Canis lupus familiaris: one gene and its partners. The protein of the gene in region 1 binds, or shares a complex with, the protein of each later gene. Links are inferred from orthologs where the notes say so. Each region holds a gene or a part of one and is shown in the gene's direction. Other genes may lie near its edges. The genes, in order: NOG, BMP2 and BMP7.

Region 1 (5,166 bases):
ATGATAAATTCATGGGCAGGGGTGGGGGGGGGCACAGACAACACAGGTTAAAAGGAAGAAACAGATCTCTGGGGAAAGAAAGTAGAGTGATTTAGGCTGTCACTAGAAGTGAGACCTCCTAAGCCCACTCCATGGAGTGCTGCTGGTGATTACTGGCTTCCTCTTCTCCAACTCCTTCTTCTCCAGCTTTCTCCAGACTCCAATCGCATCCACCACAAAGGAAACCAAGTTTGAGTTTCAAAGCTTAGATTCAGGTCCTCATCCAAGGGGAAATTAACTAGAAGTGTCATTTCAACATCCCTCTCCCATCAAAGAGACACCCCTTTGCAAACAGAAAGCACCATGCAAGTTTATTTAGGATCATGGAAAGGTAGGGCTGGAAGAGGAATGTAGTGGTGTCACTAAATGCAGAAAGTAAAGGAACATGGTGCCACAAAAGGGGCTTGTCCGAGGTTAACATAGGGGGGCAGACCGCAGCCAGGACTCAGATCCCCCTGCTGCCAGGTCACCTTTCTTAAGTTTTAGGTCTCCGCTCTCGCCCACTGAGGCCGATTTAGCGGCCGCAGACAGAGGGTGCCCTATAGTCTTGTGACATTTGAGGGGCGTCTGGAGGAATCTCAGGAAGTTCGTTTACACCGAGGGCCTGGAAAGCTTGGAGAGCACAGACCCGAGCAGTCCAGGCCCCCGCAGCGCGCGCGCGCACGCACACACTATGACACGGACACGCGAGCAGAAGCGGAGCTGGGCCGGGCGGACCGCAGGCGAACCCACCTCGCGGGGCCGCCCCCGCCAGCGCCAGGTGCAGGACTCGCCGGGCGCCAGCAGAGGGCGCGCCGCCCCCAGGGAGCCGAGCAGCGGCGGCGCGGAACCCGGCCGGCTAGGGGAGCCGCAGGCGAGCCGGACGCGCCCCTGCAGCTCGGCCACTCAGGGTGCAGGACCCGGCCAAGGAGGAGGAGGAGGAGGAGGAGGAGGAGGAGGAGGAGGAGGAGGAGGAGGGCGAGGAGCGGACCCCCCTCGTGGGCCCGAGTAACAGACGGGCAGGAGTGCTTCCTAGGAATTACATCACGCTGCGCAACGCTGCGGCTCTCGGAGTCCTGCTCAAAGTGTGTGTGTGTGTGTGTGTGTGTGTGTGTGTGTGTGTGTGTGTGTGTACGCGCTGGGGGGAGGGGACTCAGAGCCAGCTCCGGAGAGAGGAAGGCGAGACGCGCCCGGGGAAAAAGCTCCGTGCACATGGAGAAATTCCTTGCGCCGGACTCTGCACCGAGGAACGAGCCCCCGGCACCGCCCCGCGGCTGCCCTCCCAGTGCAAAGCACCCAGCTAGCGGGACCCCTCACAGCCCCACCTCGAGCACCCCCCACAACCGGCCCTGCACCCTCCAGCCCGGCTCCAGCGCCGCCGCGAGCTTTCCCCAGGACTGGCCCTGGCGGGGCGCCTAGAGCCCCAGTTGCATTGCTCCAGGAGAAAGGAGGGGGGCGGTGCATTTTGCAGGAGGAGGAGAAGGGGGGTGGGTGGTGGGGGAGAGAGAAAATTGCGCGGAGACCTGCCAAGCGCCACCGCCGCCGCCACCGCCGCTGCCGCCGCCGCCGCCGCCGCCGCCGCCGCCGCCGCCGCCGCCGCCGCCGCCGCCTGTGAGCTCCGGCGGGCAGCCGGGCTGTCGGCCTCCCGGGGCATCTGGGTCCGGCGGGGCACGGCCCTGGGCGCTGCCGAAGCCGCCGCCGCGGCGAGTGCAGGCGGCTTCCCCCGGAGCCTGTGCCGCTCCGGCTCCTCGGGGGTGGAGAAGTGGGGGGTGGGGTTGTTGTTTGGGGGGAAGGAGGGGGAGGGGGCAACGCCGAGAGAGTCAGTGGTTTCCATGGTGATGGAGCTGAAAGTGCAGGAAATTTAAAGGCTTGGACCCTGCGAGACAGACAAACCGGTGCCAACGTGCGCGGACGCCGCCGCCGCCGCCGCCGCTGGAGTCCGCCTGGCAGAGCCGGCCGCGGAGCCCCGAGCAGGCGGAGGGACGCGCCCCGGACCCGCTGCGCCAGCCGCGCTGCCCCGGGCGGCGGGACGACCGCGGCGAGCGGAGGAGGAGGAGGAGGGGAGGGCGGCTCGGCCCCGCGCCCCGCGCCCGCGCCCGCGCCCCGCGCCCCGCGCCCCGCGCCCCGCGCCGCCGCCCGGGAGCAGCGAGGAGCCGGCGCCCCCCGCGCCCGCCGGCGCCCTGGAGTCCCCGCGGACGCCCCGCCGCGGCCGCCGGCCCCAGTAGACCCGGCGGAGCAGCCGCGGCCGACCCGTGCGCCGCCTCCCGCCCGCCCCGGTGGGAGCCGGCGCCGCGCGAAGGGCTCTCCCGGCGCCTCATGCTGCCGGCCCTGCGCCCGCCCAGCCGCGGGTGAGCCGCCTCCGGAGGGCCGGGGAGTGCTCTCCTCGGGGGACGCGGACGCGGCGGCAGCCCCGGGCGCGCCGGAGGCATGGAGCGCTGCCCCAGCCTGGGGGTCACCCTCTACGCCCTGGTGGTGGTCCTGGGGCTGCGGGCGGCACCGGCCGGCGGCCAGCACTACCTCCACATCCGCCCGGCCCCCAGCGACAACCTGCCCCTGGTGGACCTCATCGAGCACCCGGACCCTATCTTTGACCCCAAGGAGAAGGATCTGAACGAGACGCTGCTGCGCTCGCTGCTCGGGGGCCACTACGACCCGGGCTTCATGGCCACCTCGCCCCCCGAGGAGCGGCCCGGCGGGGGCGGGGGCGCGGGCGCGGGCGCGGGCGCGGCCGGGGGCGCCGAGGACCTGGCCGAGCTGGACCAGCTGCTGCGGCAGCGGCCGTCGGGGGCCATGCCGAGCGAGATCAAAGGGCTGGAGTTCTCCGAGGGCTTGGCCCCGGGCAAGAAGCAGCGCCTGAGCAAGAAGCTGCGGAGGAAGTTACAGATGTGGCTGTGGTCGCAGACCTTCTGCCCGGTGTTGTACGCGTGGAACGACCTGGGCAGCCGCTTCTGGCCGCGCTACGTGAAGGTGGGCAGCTGCTTCAGCAAGCGCTCGTGCTCGGTGCCCGAGGGCATGGTGTGCAAGCCGTCCAAGTCCGTGCACCTCACGGTGCTGCGGTGGCGCTGTCAGCGGCGCGGGGGCCAGCGCTGCGGCTGGATTCCCATCCAGTACCCCATCATTTCCGAGTGCAAGTGCTCGTGCTAGAACTCGGGGCCCCCTCCCCGCACCCGGACAATGGATGGAACCCCACCGACGCCCCCCCCCCCCCACCGCCCGCCTCCGCACCGTCTCCAACCAGTTCCACCACCCTCTCGCGAGGCGGGGAGGGGGGGGATTCAATGAACTTTTTTTTTTTTTTTTTTTTTTTCTGGCTACAGAGACCTAGCTTTCTGGTTCATGTAATGCACTGTTTAACTGTGTAGGAATGTATATGTGTGTGTATATACGGTCCCAGTTTTAATTTACTTATTAAAAGGTCAGTATTATACGTTAAAAGTTACCGGCTTCTACTGTATTTTTAAAAAAAAAATAAGCAAAAGGAAAAAAAAAAAGAACAGAGCAAAGAGAGACTTATTCTGGTTGTCGCTAATAATGTTAACCTGCTATTTATATTCCAGTGCCCTTCGCATGGCGAAGCAGGGGGGAAAAGTTATTTTTTCTTAAAGTACAAAAAGAGAGGGGAGAACTTTTGTAGAAGGACTTTTAAAAAGCTATTTTCCATTCTTCGGAAAGTGTTTTGGTTTTCCTTGGACCTCGAAGAAGCTATAGAGTTCAATGTTATTTTACAGTTATTGTAAATATAGAGAACAAATGGAATGACTAATCATTGTAAATTAAGAGTATCTGCTATTTATTCTTTATAATATCCCGTGTAGTAAATGAGAAAGAAGTGCAGAGCAGGATTAAAGAAAACCACTAAAATCGACTGCGCTCTCGACACTGCGATTCTCTGTGTTGGTGATTGATGGGGGGTGTGGGGGCTGGAGGGGGTGGGTAGGGGTGCCGCTGTGCTTACTACGCCTGTTGGGAGAAGGGGCTCATCCCCTCTTGGGGTGTGATGGAGATGACCGCTCAGTTTTTCCTTCTGGGGGTGGGTGGGAGGGGGGGGGAGAGGGTTATTCTCAAACCCCTCACTTGAGCATCACGTGGCCTCTGCCCAGTGTCCCAGCTTTTTCTCCCTGTGTCACCAAAGCTCGGGCCCGTCCTGACCTCGACACCCAGCCGGCCCCCTGGAGCTGACCCCAGGCTGGGCTGAGGGGCGGGGGGGGAGGGTGGGCGGCCGCTTTGTCCTGCCTGACAGGCCCTTCACAATGGGGACACGTGTCTTTCACACCTACCCTGGGGGCGGAGTGCCGCTGAAACTTGACCCCCGAGGAATGGGGGGGGGGGGGGTTGGTGGTGGGAGAGATCAGAGCGCGCCCACCCAGATCCCGTCACCCCTCCCGCCTCGCACCGCTCCCCCCCCCCACCCCATCAATAACCAGCCGGTGTTAACCCTTTGCACGCCCGGAAGCTGCGGTGATGCTAGCTATGGGATCCAGTCCTTTGGAATCCACACACTCAGGCTCCGGAATCTTGCAGGTCGGAGCCCCCAAAACCCCAGGCCCTCGGCCGGAATTGCTGGCATAGCTGGGTGATTTGACATTCGCCTCCCCCACCCCCACCCCCACCCCCACCCCGCCCCGGGAACCTAAGGAGGACACTGAGGGTCAAGATTTCGGGGAAGGGGGGGCAATCCGCATTTGGGAATGGGGTGCGCCCCCCGCTCCGGACACTGACTCCACTTGGGGGTGGGGAGGAGGGAGGAGAACTCAGAATCGGGACCCTTGAGCTGGGGGGCTAGAGAGGGGCAGGAGGTGGGCTGCCGCCCGAAGGGACGTGCAAAACATCGCCGTCACCCCACCCCTGGAAGAGCCAACTTCTCGGGGCGGGCGCTCGACTCGCGTGCGCCCCTCGGCCGCAGTGCGCGGCGGCGCCCCTCCGCGCGGCTCCACGTGGGCCGGCTTCCTGACACTGCTCCGCGCTCCCTTTATTTATCTTGGACTCCGCGGTCGCTCTCCCTCGCTCCCTCCCCACCCCCCGCCACCTCCTCCCCGCGCCTCCCTCGCGGCATCCCTCCCCCCACCCCCACCCCGGGGCCGGAGTCCCGGCGAATCTATGCTAATCATTTCAAACCTGCGCCGGGTCCCCAGCGCAGTCTCGGTGCCC
Region 2 (6,702 bases), on another chromosome or scaffold:
GATAGAGACATACACGAATATTTTTGTATATTACATGTACATTTATCTGACTAAAAGGGCATTTGCATAAACATAAATGTATACACATATGTAAAAGTAAATGCGTACTCACGCATTACATATATATAGATATATTTGGATACATTAAATTTTAAGTGACCTACTCTGCAATCTCTGGTTTTCTTTTAATTCCCCCACCCTGGAGAAACACAAGTGTCTACGCAACCCTATGCCAAGACGCCTTGTAACTTGGTTGAGTTCTTTTTTTTTTTTTTTTTTTTCTTCTTCTTTTTTTTCTCCTTAATCATCTGTTACCGAAAAACTTCAAACTGAAAGTTGAATAACGGGCCGGGCAGGAGATAAAGGCTCGCCCCCGCGCTCGCCCGGACCCTCGCCCCCGCCGCCCCGCCGCGGGTCCCGCGCTCCCCGCGCTCTCCCCCCGGAGCGCAGGGGCTGGATGCGCGAGCGCCCCCCTCGGCGGCCCCGCGGCCCCGCCCTCGGCCCCACCCCGCCGCGGCTGCCCCGGCGCGCCGTCCACACCCCTGCGCGCCGCTCCCGCTCCCGCTCCCGCTCCCGCTCCGGCTCCCGCCCGCTCGGGGATCCCCGGCGAGCCGCGCCGCCGAGGGGGAGGTGTCCGGCCTCCGCGGAGACGGAGGCTGCAGGCAGGCTGCGTCCCCTTTAAAAGCCGCGAGCGCCGCGCCACGGCGCCGCCGCCGGAGTCCTCGCCCCGCCGCCTGCGCCCGGCTCGCGCTGCGCCCGCCGCTCCGCTTCCCACACCCCGCCGGGGACTGGCAGCCGCCGCCGGACGCCCGCCGCCGCAGGCTGCGCCGCGACCCGCCGACCTCGCGGCCAGCGCGTCGCGGACTACGGGGGCTGCTCCGCCGCCGCCGCCGCCGCCGCCGCCGCCGCCGCCGCCGCGCGCCGCTCACCCCGCGCGGGCTGGAGCGCCCGGCCGAGCGCGCCCCTGCGCCGTGGCCTCGGCCGCCCGGGCCGCGCCGGAGCCGGGGAGCCGCGCGCACGGCGCCGCGCAGCCGCGAGCCCAGCCCGAGCGCCGCGATGCCGAGCCCGCGCCGCCCGAGCGTGGGGGCCCGCGACGCGCCGGCCGACGCGTGAGCGGACCCCGGGCCGGCCCCGGAGCGCAGCGCAGTCTGGCCCGGGGGCTGCCGCGAGGGGAGAGCGCGGCCGCGCGCCTCGGCCGCCCGGGACCCGCCTCGCCGCCTCGCCTCGCCTCGCCTCGCCTCGCCTCGCCGGAGAATGCGCCCGAGGACGCCGGGGCGCCGGAGCCGCGGGGCGATCGGCCGGCGGGCGCCGGCGGGGCTGCGCTGGAGCGAGGCCGAGTGATGCGGGGGCGCCCCCCGCCCGGCCCCGAGACCGCCGCTGCGCCCTTCCCCGCACCCGGCGTCGCCCAGGATGGCCGCCCCGAGCCACGGGCCGCGGCGGCGCTAGCGCGGAGGGAGCGCCCGACCCTCGGCCCCCGCGCCGGGCCCCGCGTCCCGCGGGCGCCGGTGCCTGAGGACGACGACGCACCGGCTTCTGCCCTGTCCCTTCCCTCGCCTGCCCCGTCCTCCTCCCCCTGCTCGCTGTTGTTGTGTGTCAGCACTTGGCTGGAGACTTGTTGAACTTGCAGGGAGAATAGCTTGCGCTCCCGCTTCGCGCCGGTGCCTTGGCCCCTGCGGAGCCGGCCTCGCCGCCCGGACCCCGCGCCCGGACCCCGCGCCCGGACCCCGCGCCCGCGCCGCCCCACTGCTCCGCGGGGCCAGACCCGGGGCCGCGGTGCCCGGCGGCGGGAGGAGGCGGCGGCGGCGGCGGCGGCGGCGGCCCGAGGGAACCGGGTCCCTGCGCCAGGTCCTTGGACCAGAGCTTTTTCCATGTGGAGGCTCTTTCAATGGACGTGCCCCCGCGTGCTTCTTAGACGGTCGGCGGTCTCCTAAAGGTAGGGGACGAGGGCCCCGGGCTGGGGTGGGGGTACGGGGTAGGGGGTAGGGGCGGGGCGCGGGGCGCGGGCGGCCGCCGAGGGCGAGCGGCTCCTGGGGCCGGGCCGGGCCGGGCGGACGTAAACAGACCCCCTCCGGGTCCACGTGCTGCCGAGCCCCTGCGGCGATGCCCCCACCAGACCGCCCCGGCGAGCCTGGCCCTCCCGGCTCGCGCTCTTCCGCCCCTCCTCCCTTCTCTCTTCTCAGTATTTTATTAGGGCTGTTAACACTTAGATGATTAAAAAAAAAAAAAAAAAAAACCTCGAAGAAGCCCAATCTAGAGGGTGGCCTCTGGATTTCACCCGTTAGTCGCCAACCTTTGCGCCCTGCCATGGCCATCTTCTCTCCCTTCTTCAAGTTTCTCAGGGAGACCTGCTCTCTACTCAGAGCCAAGTCCCATTTAGGAAAATACTAGAAGTTGGGGTTCTCCCTGTTTGTTGCCAGGAATGCGAGGGGGGCAGTACTTAAATGCCACCTTCTGGTGACACGTGACCGAATAGGTATTATTTATGTAACTGGAGGAATATGTATGTGTGTCTGGACTGCATGGGGCGGGGGTTCGGGGCTGGGGTGGCCCTGTCCTGACACCTCTGAGGTTAAAGGCGTGGGCCACAAGTTGCAAGTGGCTTCGGAAGTTGTGGCCCTGAGTTTACTGGGTCTGGAAGTCAGAGGGAGGGCGGGAGGGCGGGAGCGAGAGAGAGTGTGAGTGTATGTGTGTATCAGGAAGTTCTATACGGTGCCTGTAAGGAAGTCACATGCACCATCCGTGCGTGTTTATATGCAAGCCAGCGCTGGGCAATGTGTTTGGGTTTGTTTAGCGATCCGGGAGGTGTCAGACCAAGCGGTGGTTTCCCCAGGTTCCCTGCACGGGCTGTCAGCGCGAGTGTCACAGAAGAAAGGTGACAGTCTTGACGCTGGTGGGGTGTGTGTGTGTGTGTGCGCGCGCGCGCGCAAATCGTGCCGGATGGATGAGAGTGAGTTGGAAGGGGGGGGAGCCTTCAGGCTCAGGAACTAGGGGCTTTCCATTCTCCCAAACGTTCGAGCTTAAGACCTTTGAAGTATCCCCGCGAGTATTGCACACCAGGTGGGCACCCTGGAGGGGGAGGCAGCGGCCGGAGCGGGAGCCCCGGGACGCGAGGGCGGGGAGAGGATTGGGCGGGGAACTCGGTGACTCACGTCGGCCCTGTCCGCAGGTCGACCATGGTGGCCGGGACCCGCTGTCTTCTAGCGTTGCTGCTTCCCCAGGTCCTCCTGGGCGGCGCGGCCGGTCTCATTACGGAGCTGGGCCGGAGGAAGTTCGCGGCATCTCCTGGCCGCTCCCCGTCCCAGCCCTCGGACGAAGTCCTGAGCGAGTTCGAGTTGCGGCTGCTCAGCATGTTCGGCCTGAAGCGGAGACCCACCCCCAGCAGGGACGCCGTGGTGCCCCCCTACATGCTGGACCTGTACCGCCGGCACTCGGGCCAGCCGGGCGCACCGGCCCCGGACCACCGGCTGGAGAGGGCAGCCAGCCTGGCCAACACCGTGCGCAGCTTCCACCACGAAGGTGAGGCGTGGAGCAGAGCGTGGGGGCCGAGATGCGCGCGGAGAGTCCCCTCCAGAAGCTCCCCACTGTGGGCCGACTGTTGGCATCCCTGGGAAGGCAGTTCTTGCCTTTGTAAGAACCTTTCCGAACCGAACCTGGCTTTACCGCGCTGCCTGTGTGGCGAGGGAGCCAGGGATTCCCCTTTGGTCAATCTGCACCCTTTTCCTGGCCTGCAGCCAGGAGAGCGACTCCTCCTCCAGGAACTGGAGAGAAATCAAGTGATGGGGAAGATGAGGGCAAAAGGCATGCCCCTAGTCAGCTAAATGTGCAAGAATTTCATAGGGGAAGAATGAAAAGGAGGGGGGCAGATTGGGATCTCTTTATGTCTGTTTGGAAGCCCTTTTGCCCTGTAAATCTGTTTCTCCTGCTTCAGCTGGGGTTTCAGGCTAGACACAGCCAAGGACAGACTTTTCAGAGATACTATTGAAGAATCAAAGCCAGGGGCCCCAAAGTCTTTCTAATTTACAGTTGATCTGGGCCTGGTTTGGAAGATTTCGAATCCCTATCTAATCCCCGTGAGAGATCAATCCCACAATCAATCTTATTGTTTCCACAATGACTTTCTTGTTTTGTGCTTAAATCTGAGATGAACTCCCTCTTAGAGACAAGGCAAGCCTTCAGATAAAAGCTTTTGCAGCAGCTGCCTGATGGTTCTTTTTTTTTTTTTCTCCATGTGCATTGAAATGTGGATTTTTTTTTTTTCTTTTATGATACTGGATGTGGTTTTCCTAAGGTACGCTATTTCTGCTTGTTTCATTAGAACAGCATTTAGTGGATTTGAAATGTCCAAGAGAAGCTATTGACATCTGTTGTACCCAAGTTCTTGGATCAATTAGTCAAAAATTTTATGTTCCACTTTAGTTCTTTTTCTACACTTTTAAATACCCTTTTGGCTTAATGCATTCCAAATAGAGCACGGGTTTCATCAAGTTCTAGAGAAATCTCCAAAGCTGTGTATCACAGAGCAGTCACTTGTAGATTATTGGGGAATCGGGAGTGAAGTTCCCATTTTCTTGCCTTGCTTCGAGGTGGTAAATTTCAGGCAGAAATCTATTCTCTAACATAAACAAATAAGAACTGTTACAGCTACCTATTTTCTCTCAGTGTGAAGGGTGACTACACTTGTGAGAACAGCACTTAGTGTTGGGAAGAAGTCCTAAAGGCAGGTGGCGTAACCAAAGGTACTTCTTCATCAAAGCAGTTGTACACTGTGAAGGGACACGGGATTGATAACCCATTGATCGTAATCCATCATTTTCCAGCACATTTCCAAGTGAGGTGCTTTTTTGCAGTAGAGCTCCCATGAGAAAGCACAGAAGGCATCCTTCTACTCCTTCAGGATTCGTTCGCTGAGAAGCAGAAGTTGTCTGTTGTCATATGTAGAAATGTTTTCACTCCTATATGCTCTGTCAACATAATCTTGGAATGATTGTAGTAGATGCAGCTCATCATTCCCAGCTGATGCTGATAAGAATTATTTTTCTGGATAGAAAAGTAGCAAGAGCAGCTATTTCAGCCACCTCTCCTGGAAATTTAGCCTGGAACCACTCTTAATTATTTTAAAGGCTAGGAAGGTACTGTGTGTCTCTCATAACTTAAAGGAGGAACACTTAAGTCGTCTGACACCTAAAACATTCAGCTGCATGAGGATCCCGTCAGTGGAGTCTGTGTATTTCTCTTTCCTCTAGGAGTGGCTTGATCAAAACTAAACAGGCTACAAATTATTTGAGTGTGTTATTTTAACCTAAATAGCGTGCTTGAGTTTATAAGTCAGAATTTATAACTTTAAAAGTATGAAAGTTATGTGCAGAGCAGTAGAGAAATTATCAACCTGCTTAAAGTCAACTTACAGTAACGTCAGATCTCAGTGCAGTTAGATGATAGAAAAAGCCATGTAATTTTTGCCTCAAATTTCATCACATCCATTTCTGTTCTTGTTATGACTAGCATATCATTCTTAGGCCACATCATGCATATTTTGAAGACCGTTTCATTTTTGTGTAACCCAGGATTTGCTTTTTATAAAGATCCTTGTGCCATGCATGGCACTAAAAATCTTTTAATAAATCATGTGATTAAGGCAGCTAGCTTAAGACCAGAACTTGGCTCCTGCAGCCTTAATGGGCATGTGTTTGGTAGAGAACTAAGGGCCTGATTCCAAGAATTACCTGTTGTTGGTTTCATTTGTGGGTGGAATCTGGGTGATTTGGTGAAATTACAAGACCAGAGATACCATGGTTATCAGATAATCAACCACTGTGTGAAGATAATGGGACCGCATGGTAGGTGATCTGAAACAGAATGATCGGTTGTCATTTCTCCTATTAAACTTTGTCTAGTCTTCTGGACAGTACTTGTCCCTTAGGAGAACCCAAGTACTCCAACAGTTTTCTTCCTCCAGTCATTAAAAAGTTCTTTGGCCGCACATAGACCTTTCGCAGCTGCCACTGAGGAAAGAAAAATCACTCCTCCTCCTGGAAGGAGTGTTCTGTGCTTTGCTGTACTGAAAAACACCTTGAAATTGGTTGACTTCACCGGCCCTGCAAAAAGCCTTTATGTTCTCCTGTCAGAGTAGAATATAGAAGGACCATCTGTTTGCTCTCCAGACTCTGAAGGACACAGTCTTCGTTTTAATGAACAATGGAATTATTTGCCTCCCTGACTAAAGCCTTTGAATAGAAAATAACCCTTTTCCCACAAATGTAATTACCACGAAAATATCCGTATAATGGGAGAGTTCAAGAAGCAACTGATGCCCTGGGAGAGAGAACTTGTATCACAAATGCCCAGTGTAAGCAAAGGATTTGGACACAGGCACCCCCCCAAAGCAGTATTTACTTGATGTGCTTCCCTAGTATCCCCGGGTCGTTCAGTGTCACTGAGAAGGGTCCCAGCAAGTAAAACAGGCATTCTCTTTGGAAGTCTTTGGGGGTCGAGGCTCTGATGCTCAACGATTGTTCTTGGACTAATATTATCTGTTCTCTACTCTTTTGGCCGTTCCTCTGTCTCCTTCCTTAATCCCTTCTCATTGAGCTATCTTGTCTTCTTTGAGACTTGCCCTTTGTGTATTTCACTAAGTAGTAAAAGGACAGTAAACGGGCACATGATCGTTCCAAAGGTGTTGGAGTTAAGGGTGGGCAGAAGCCA
Region 3 (6,026 bases), on another chromosome or scaffold:
ACATTGGGTTTGGAAAAAACAGTCATTTACTCCAAATGGTTAAAGAGTGTGTGTAGGAATGAAGTTTGTGTATAGTTTTAACTTTCCCTGGCAGGTGGGCTGGAAGGATAATAATCAGCAGCTTGTTGCTATGAGCTAAGAGGTGTGCTAAACTGATGGGAATGTGCACGGCTGTCCCTGGAGGCACTTCCTCCTCACTCTGCAGATGAGCATCTCAAGGTCTAGGAGAACCAGGGTCTGACTCCAGAGCTGGAGCAGCACCCCCTTACCTGGCCAGACCCCACCTGGGAGCTGGTGTGCTCTGGAGTCTACAGCTGGGCTCCAGCTGACTATCAGCCCCACACTGGGAGGCACCTTTCCAAGTAGGACCCACTGCGTGGTTTGGCTACAAGTCTTAGAAATACCAGTCAGGTGGCTCCAACCACTAGAAAAGCCATTGGCTCACAGTGACGGGGTTGGGTGGACATGAGGGTAGGTTGATCCAGAAAGTCAACAACAGTGAAAGCTTTCAACAGTGAAGGCTTTCTGTCCTTGCTCACCACGTTCAGGCTATGGCTGTAGGTAGTCATCAGGCTCTACTGCTTTTCTATTCCCAGGCAATAGGGGAAAGAGATGAGCATCTTTTCCCATGAGCCTTTCTTAGGAATAAAGAAACTTATTCCGGAAGCCCCCAGCATGCTTTCACCCATGTCCTGTTGGCTTGGATTGTGTCATTTGTTCTTTTTGTTGTTGTTGTTCTTATCTGAACCAATCCTCGCTCTAAGGATAACATATGGGCTGGTGAGCTCAGACCTGGGTTCTGAACTAGTCACTGACAATGGCTGGGGTTGCCATGACCCCCCAGGCCCAAGGAGGGCCACTCACCTGGCCATCTGAGAGAGCTGACCAGGCAGGGGGATCTGGGTGCATCTGGATGCCTCCCAAGTGCAAGTCAGGTAGGCAAGCAACCCTGGTTCATTTCCTTGGCTTTCCTCTTCATCCTGCAAAGAGTTGTCCTTGTGTTCCTCACCCACTGGTGTTCATTACCTTCTGGGATGCTTGAGCCTGGAGGGATCACAGCAGGGCACAGAAGCTGAGGCATTGACGTCTCCTGTATTTGTGTGTTAACTACACAAATACTGGTGGACACTGGGCCTTGGGGATCCAATGGTAACCTCCCAAAACCTTTTAGAAGAGGCAACATTTGAGGTGAGGCTTGAATATCCAGTAGAGCCAGACATACAAAGATTACGAGAAGGAGCATTTCAGGTAGATGAAACAGCAAGTGCAAAAGCCCTGATAGGAACAGACTTGACAGTACATTCACAGCACAGAAAGAAGGCTGTGGCCACATAGGGGCTTACAGGCCAAGGGCAGGAGTTGGGACATTGCTCTAAGCATGATAGAAAGCCCCTAGAAAGTTTTAGGTGGAGGAAAGACAAGTCATGAGTAAGGAAAAAAAAACCATCCCCATAACCCCATAGCTACAGGGTAGAAGACGGTGCAGGAGCACCAGAGTATGTGTGTGTGTGCGTCTGTCTGTCTCTGTGTGTGTCTGTGTGAGAGTGACAGAGAGACGAAGGGCAGAGCTTTCTACATGTTTACAAGTGCTCAAGCCCTAACGCAGATGCCTGCGAACCTTACATACTTCTGGAAAACCCCAGTCATAGTTTTCACTCCTCAGAAAAACCTAAGTAGTGTGTTTCTCTGGGAGGTCAATGGGATGTGAGTTTCTGCATTTCTTCCTGGCAGTGGGGTCTTTGTCCCAGGCCCTGGCTGTGCCCCTTTTGCCCTTTGAAAGAGGGGTGAGCATCGTGAGGTGGGCTGGCCTCAGCAGCTGAGGGCAGACCCCTCTGAGCAGGCTTCTGCAGCCAGCATGGTGGCACGTGGCTATAGTTTGGTTCCTATGTGGAACCCAGGCAGAGGTCAGCCTCCAAACAACGCACATGTACAAAAAAAGCCAATGTCCACAGAAGGATCCAGAGCATACTAGGAGCTAACATGGCGCAAGAGGGATGGGGACGTTGGTGCAGAGGCCATTTGCTAAGGATGGAAATGAGTTTCAAGGCTATAGGAACTGGAATGGCTTTCATGTCAGGAAGGTCACATTCTAGCTGAGTTCAACCGTGCTCACACCACTGCCTTAGATGGAGGGAACCTTAATATGTGTGTGTGTTTTCTCTCCCCCGTGCCTCTGTCTCCCACCAATGCAGAAAACAGCAGCAGCGACCAGAGGCAGGCCTGCAAGAAGCACGAACTGTACGTCAGCTTCCGCGATCTGGGCTGGCAGGTAAGGACGGGTGGCCGGATCTGCCCCGATGGTGGGGGCTCTGGTGTGGGCTTCCTCGTGCCCCCCGCCCAAGGCAGTGGGGCTGGGTCCCATGTGTGCACTGAGTCACGTTTCTCATCTACTTCAGTTCGGACTCCAGTGTCAGGTGTCCTAACTAGGGTAGAGAATTGAGGTTAAGGATGCAGGGATGCCTCATGACACCCAGGAGCAGAAATGTGGTGGAGACTCATGCTAGAACCAGGAGCCCAAACACTTTGAACCCTAAGCCCCATGCTACATGTGAACTTCCATCTCCACCCTGCGGCTGGCTACTTCTCTCAGGTGGGGCCCATGCCCTAGAACTCAGCTGCTGCAGGGCCGGCTCCCACCCTCCACCCTGTCTGTCCCTCCTTCCCTTCCATGATTCAGATCCCAGGGCAGGGACTGATTGGCCTACCTGGGGTCAGGGGCTTGATCCTGAACCAGTCAGCTGTTTTGGGGATGGGATCATATCATAGGACCATGACTGCTCCTTCCAGAACCATTTGGATGGAATGGGGCGAAGGGCAAGAGTGAATCCTGGGACAGGCATGAGGGTCATACAGTCTAATGACTATTTAGGATTATCTGACATTCCGGCTGCTGTTCCAGGCGCTGGAGGTGCCACAGGGAGCATTACCGTGTGCCTGCCCTCGTGGAGCTCAAATAGTCCTAATGGGGTGTTGAGATCACCAAGGCCACTGGTCTTGTTGTTCACTCCTCATTGAGCTTGTGGTTCAGCGAGGGAGTCCAGATGCTTCCCTGGGGATCATGCCCAAGCGCACTATCAGAGCACTTGCGCTCGGGCAGCGTGGAGCCCTCCCGCTGTGCTGACCTCACACTCACGGCTCCCGTGCTTGCATCCTGGTGCTGGAACTGAGCCCCAGACTCCAGCTCCTCTGCGGGAAGAGTCCATGGACTTGAGTCAGGGAGGGGTGGACAGAGTGCTAGAGCAGTATTCCGGTGCTAACCCAGCCCTGACGGCAGACGTGGCCGTGTGCATCCTCCACCGAGCCGCACACGTGCACCAGCGCTGAGCTGGCTCGTCTACATGGGCGCTTAATTCTCGATGTTGTGGGTTATTAGTCTTTCTCCCACGTCCGTGAACTGAGGGGTGGAGCTTTTGTTTGAAGCAAACTGCCAACGCGTAACCACCTAGTAGCGCTGGAGTCGAAGCCACCCTGGTCACACTGGTCTGTGCCGCCTCCCCATAAGGCCCTGCAGGTGTCTCTTCTGGGCCTAGCCCAGCCCAGCCCAGCCCCAGGGTGGTCTTTCCTTCATTTTGCATTCTGTGGGGGACCATGGAAGGGGGTCCTCCATTTCTCATGCTTCTGCAGGACACTCCCCACCCTTGCCGGGATGGTGTGGGCCGGGTCTTTGTCCTCTGTCCTCTGGGAGCACGAGTCTGGGCCGCAGGGTAGGTGGGGGCTTGGGCACGAAGGGTAGGCCCTTGTGGGGCTCACGCTCTGTCCCCTGCAGGACTGGATCATCGCTCCCGAAGGCTATGCCGCTTACTACTGTGAGGGGGAGTGTGCCTTCCCCCTGAACTCCTACATGAACGCCACCAACCACGCCATCGTGCAGACGCTGGTGAGTGGGGCCTGCGTGCCGTCTGGGCATGCTCCGCTCGGTGGGGTGACGGCAGGGTCTGGTGGCCCTGCCCAGCTGCTCCTCCAGGCTGGGGCCCTGACTTTCCGCGGGCCCTGGGCACTCCTCCTGTCATAGGCCCCTTCCTCCGTTAAAAAAAAAAAAGAGAGATTAAAGATGTTATTTTACAACAGCATTGGCATAAAGATATGTATCATCCCCGACCCTCAAGTTCATGTATTTCTCCCCATTCTGGAAGAAATAAGCACAGTTTCAGGGGCTCCCAAAGGTGTCTTGGATAATGGTCACTGTGGCTAATGGTGAGGTCAGTCCTGGCCCTGCCTCTCTGGGCGGCTGTTCTTAGTTGACCACACATCTGCTCCGCCCCCATAGGTGCCCCCGCATCCCCGAGAGTCGGGGCGTCCCTGGGTTCAGACCAGCCTGAGAGCCTGTCCACTCCCCAAACTCATGTCTTTGCCTCCTAGCCTTAAACTTTGGGGGGTCAGCCACCCAAGGGTGTCTGCTGAGCATCTTCTGCAGGTAAACCTGCCCTGGGAGCTGAGGGCATTGCAGGGAACAGCACAGACCTGGTCCCTGCCTTCAGGGCCTCAGTTTCCAGGGAGAGAAGCAATCAGGTGAACAGAGGATGCGGGAGAGGAGTAAGCAGGACAGCGAGGTGGGGCAGGGCGGGGGCTGTTTCAGGTCGAACTTCCATGGGGTCACTGGAGGGTTCAGTGTGATAAGAAGATAGGCTTTTAACAGGATGCACAGCCCTGGCGACCCTTGGTAGAAGTGGTTTTTACTACTCTACCGAAAATATCAGTTGTAATAAAAATTAGGGACTTGGCTCTTCTCCTTAGAATCTGAGGCTCAGGGATCTTGATTATCTAGCTCCCTGCCAGGAACATTATTGAGGCCTTTCCCTGGCTTGAATGCTCCTGGTGACAGAGAGCTCATTACCCAGGGCCATCCCCTCAGTCCTACAGTTCTGTTTGTTCTGAAACTTTTTTGGCTTCTTTTAAAGGTTTAGTGGTAGAGTTGGTACTGACCCACGTGTTATGTCTTGGAGAAAAAGCTCCCCTGTTCCTTTCATTTGGACCATGCTCTGCCCTTCCGAGGGAAGGCTTCTTTTTTAGCCATGCTTTTCCAAGGCCCTTCCTTGGAAAGGAAGGTAAATTCTGAAGCCCTGCTCAGGATTGAAATGAATAATGCCCCCAACCTGTTCCTTGGGCCAGGCCTGTTCCCCTGTGCCCGCATGCCCCCTCAGGCCCTGCCTTGGTGGCCCCTGGGGGGTGCCAGGGGGGTCTCCCAGGCTACCAGGGCACACCTCTACCCTCCGACCCCTGCTTCATGGCCCATGTAGCGGGAGCCTGGCTGTCCCCTGATCACCTACTTAGTCTGCGTGTCACAAGAGAGCCCTGGGATCAGAACGGGAGTTCTGATTATTCTGAAAAAGAAGTTCTGTGGTCATGTTTAAAAAGGGGGAAGGGAAGAAAAAATAAAATAAGGTAAAAATTGAGAGGGAGACAAACCATAAGAGATGCCGAGCTCTAGGAAACAAACTGAGGGCCGCTGGAGGGGAGGGTGGTGGGCGGCTGGGGTAACTGGGGGACGGGCATTAAGGAGGGCAGGTGATGTGATGAGCACTGGGTGTTGTTTGCACCTGATGAATCACAAAATTCTACCTCTGAAACAACAACAACAAAAAAGCTGATGGGGGTGGGAATCCTTGCCTGCTGGGAGTCCTGGTGAAAAACAGAGGAAATGAGCTGATGTCTGGGATTTGCTTTCAAATTATTCAAGGGTGGAGGAGGCGGTATAGATTTGTAAGGTCTGAAACAGTCCGTAATAAAAAGCTAAAACATGTGCTGGCTTATCTCAGAGGTCACAGGCTAGAGGCTGCCACAGAGTGCTTTCAGTTGGCACACGTTGTGCGTCGGAAACCTGGAAGTTTCACATAAAAATTCAGCAGAACTAGGTCTCTGGCCTGTCCTGGCCACTCGGCACAGCCAACCGCACTGCCTTTGCTTGGCCGCGGTCAGCGGCAGCAGCTGCCCTCCGGGTCGCCCCAACCCCCACTATTCCCTCTTGTTTTATTCCTCACCTGCCTTGCGCACCCAGGGGTGCTTACGCGGCCCCTTCAGGCTTTTTT

Evidence for each region.
Region 2: the proteins of NOG (region 1) and BMP2 are in contact, whole or in part, in a crystal structure (PDB 7AG0), measured with the Homo sapiens proteins. The link is inferred for Canis lupus familiaris from reciprocal best matches to the Homo sapiens genes NOG and BMP2. Residues at the interface, in NP_005441.1 of Homo sapiens: Ile33, Arg34, Pro35, Ala36, Pro37, Ser38, Asp39, Asn40, Pro42, Leu43, Val44, Asp45, Leu46, Ile47, His49, His199, Arg204, Arg206, Pro219, Ile220, Gln221, Tyr222, Pro223; in NP_001191.1 of Homo sapiens: Trp310, Asp312, Trp313, Val315, Ala316, Pro317, Pro318, Gly319, Tyr320, Ala368, Ile369, Ser370, Met371, Leu372, Tyr373, Lys379, Val380, Val381, Leu382, Lys383, Asn384, Tyr385, Gln386, Met388.
Region 3: the proteins of NOG (region 1) and BMP7 are in contact, whole or in part, in a crystal structure (PDB 1M4U), measured with the Homo sapiens proteins. The link is inferred for Canis lupus familiaris from reciprocal best matches to the Homo sapiens genes NOG and BMP7. Residues at the interface, in NP_005441.1 of Homo sapiens: His29, Tyr30, Leu31, His32, Ile33, Arg34, Pro35, Ala36; in NP_001710.1 of Homo sapiens: Phe365, Pro366, Leu367, Asn368, Ser369, Asn375, Ile378, Val379.

What each region holds. Positions count from the first base shown.
Region 1 is NC_049230.1:31,413,622-31,418,787, forward strand, and holds NOG (noggin), read left to right. Parts: upstream 1-2,360; 5' UTR 2,361-2,445; coding exon 2,446-3,162; 3' UTR 3,163-3,212; downstream 3,213-5,166. UniProt on the Homo sapiens protein: Inhibitor of bone morphogenetic proteins (BMP) signaling which is required for growth and patterning of the neural tube and somite. Essential for cartilage morphogenesis and joint formation.
Region 2 is NC_049245.1:15,657,145-15,663,846, reverse strand, and holds the start of BMP2 (bone morphogenetic protein 2), read left to right. Parts: upstream 1-2,696; 5' UTR 2,697-2,771; coding exon 2,772-2,872; intron 2,873-3,166; coding exon 3,167-3,516; intron 3,517-6,702. UniProt on the Homo sapiens protein: Growth factor of the TGF-beta superfamily that plays essential roles in many developmental processes, including cardiogenesis, neurogenesis, and osteogenesis. Induces cartilage and bone formation.
Region 3 is NC_049245.1:42,954,425-42,960,450, reverse strand, and holds part of BMP7 (bone morphogenetic protein 7 precursor), read left to right. Parts: intron 1-2,192; coding exon 2,193-2,269; intron 2,270-3,766; coding exon 3,767-3,877; intron 3,878-6,026. UniProt on the Homo sapiens protein: Growth factor of the TGF-beta superfamily that plays important role in various biological processes, including embryogenesis, hematopoiesis, neurogenesis and skeletal morphogenesis.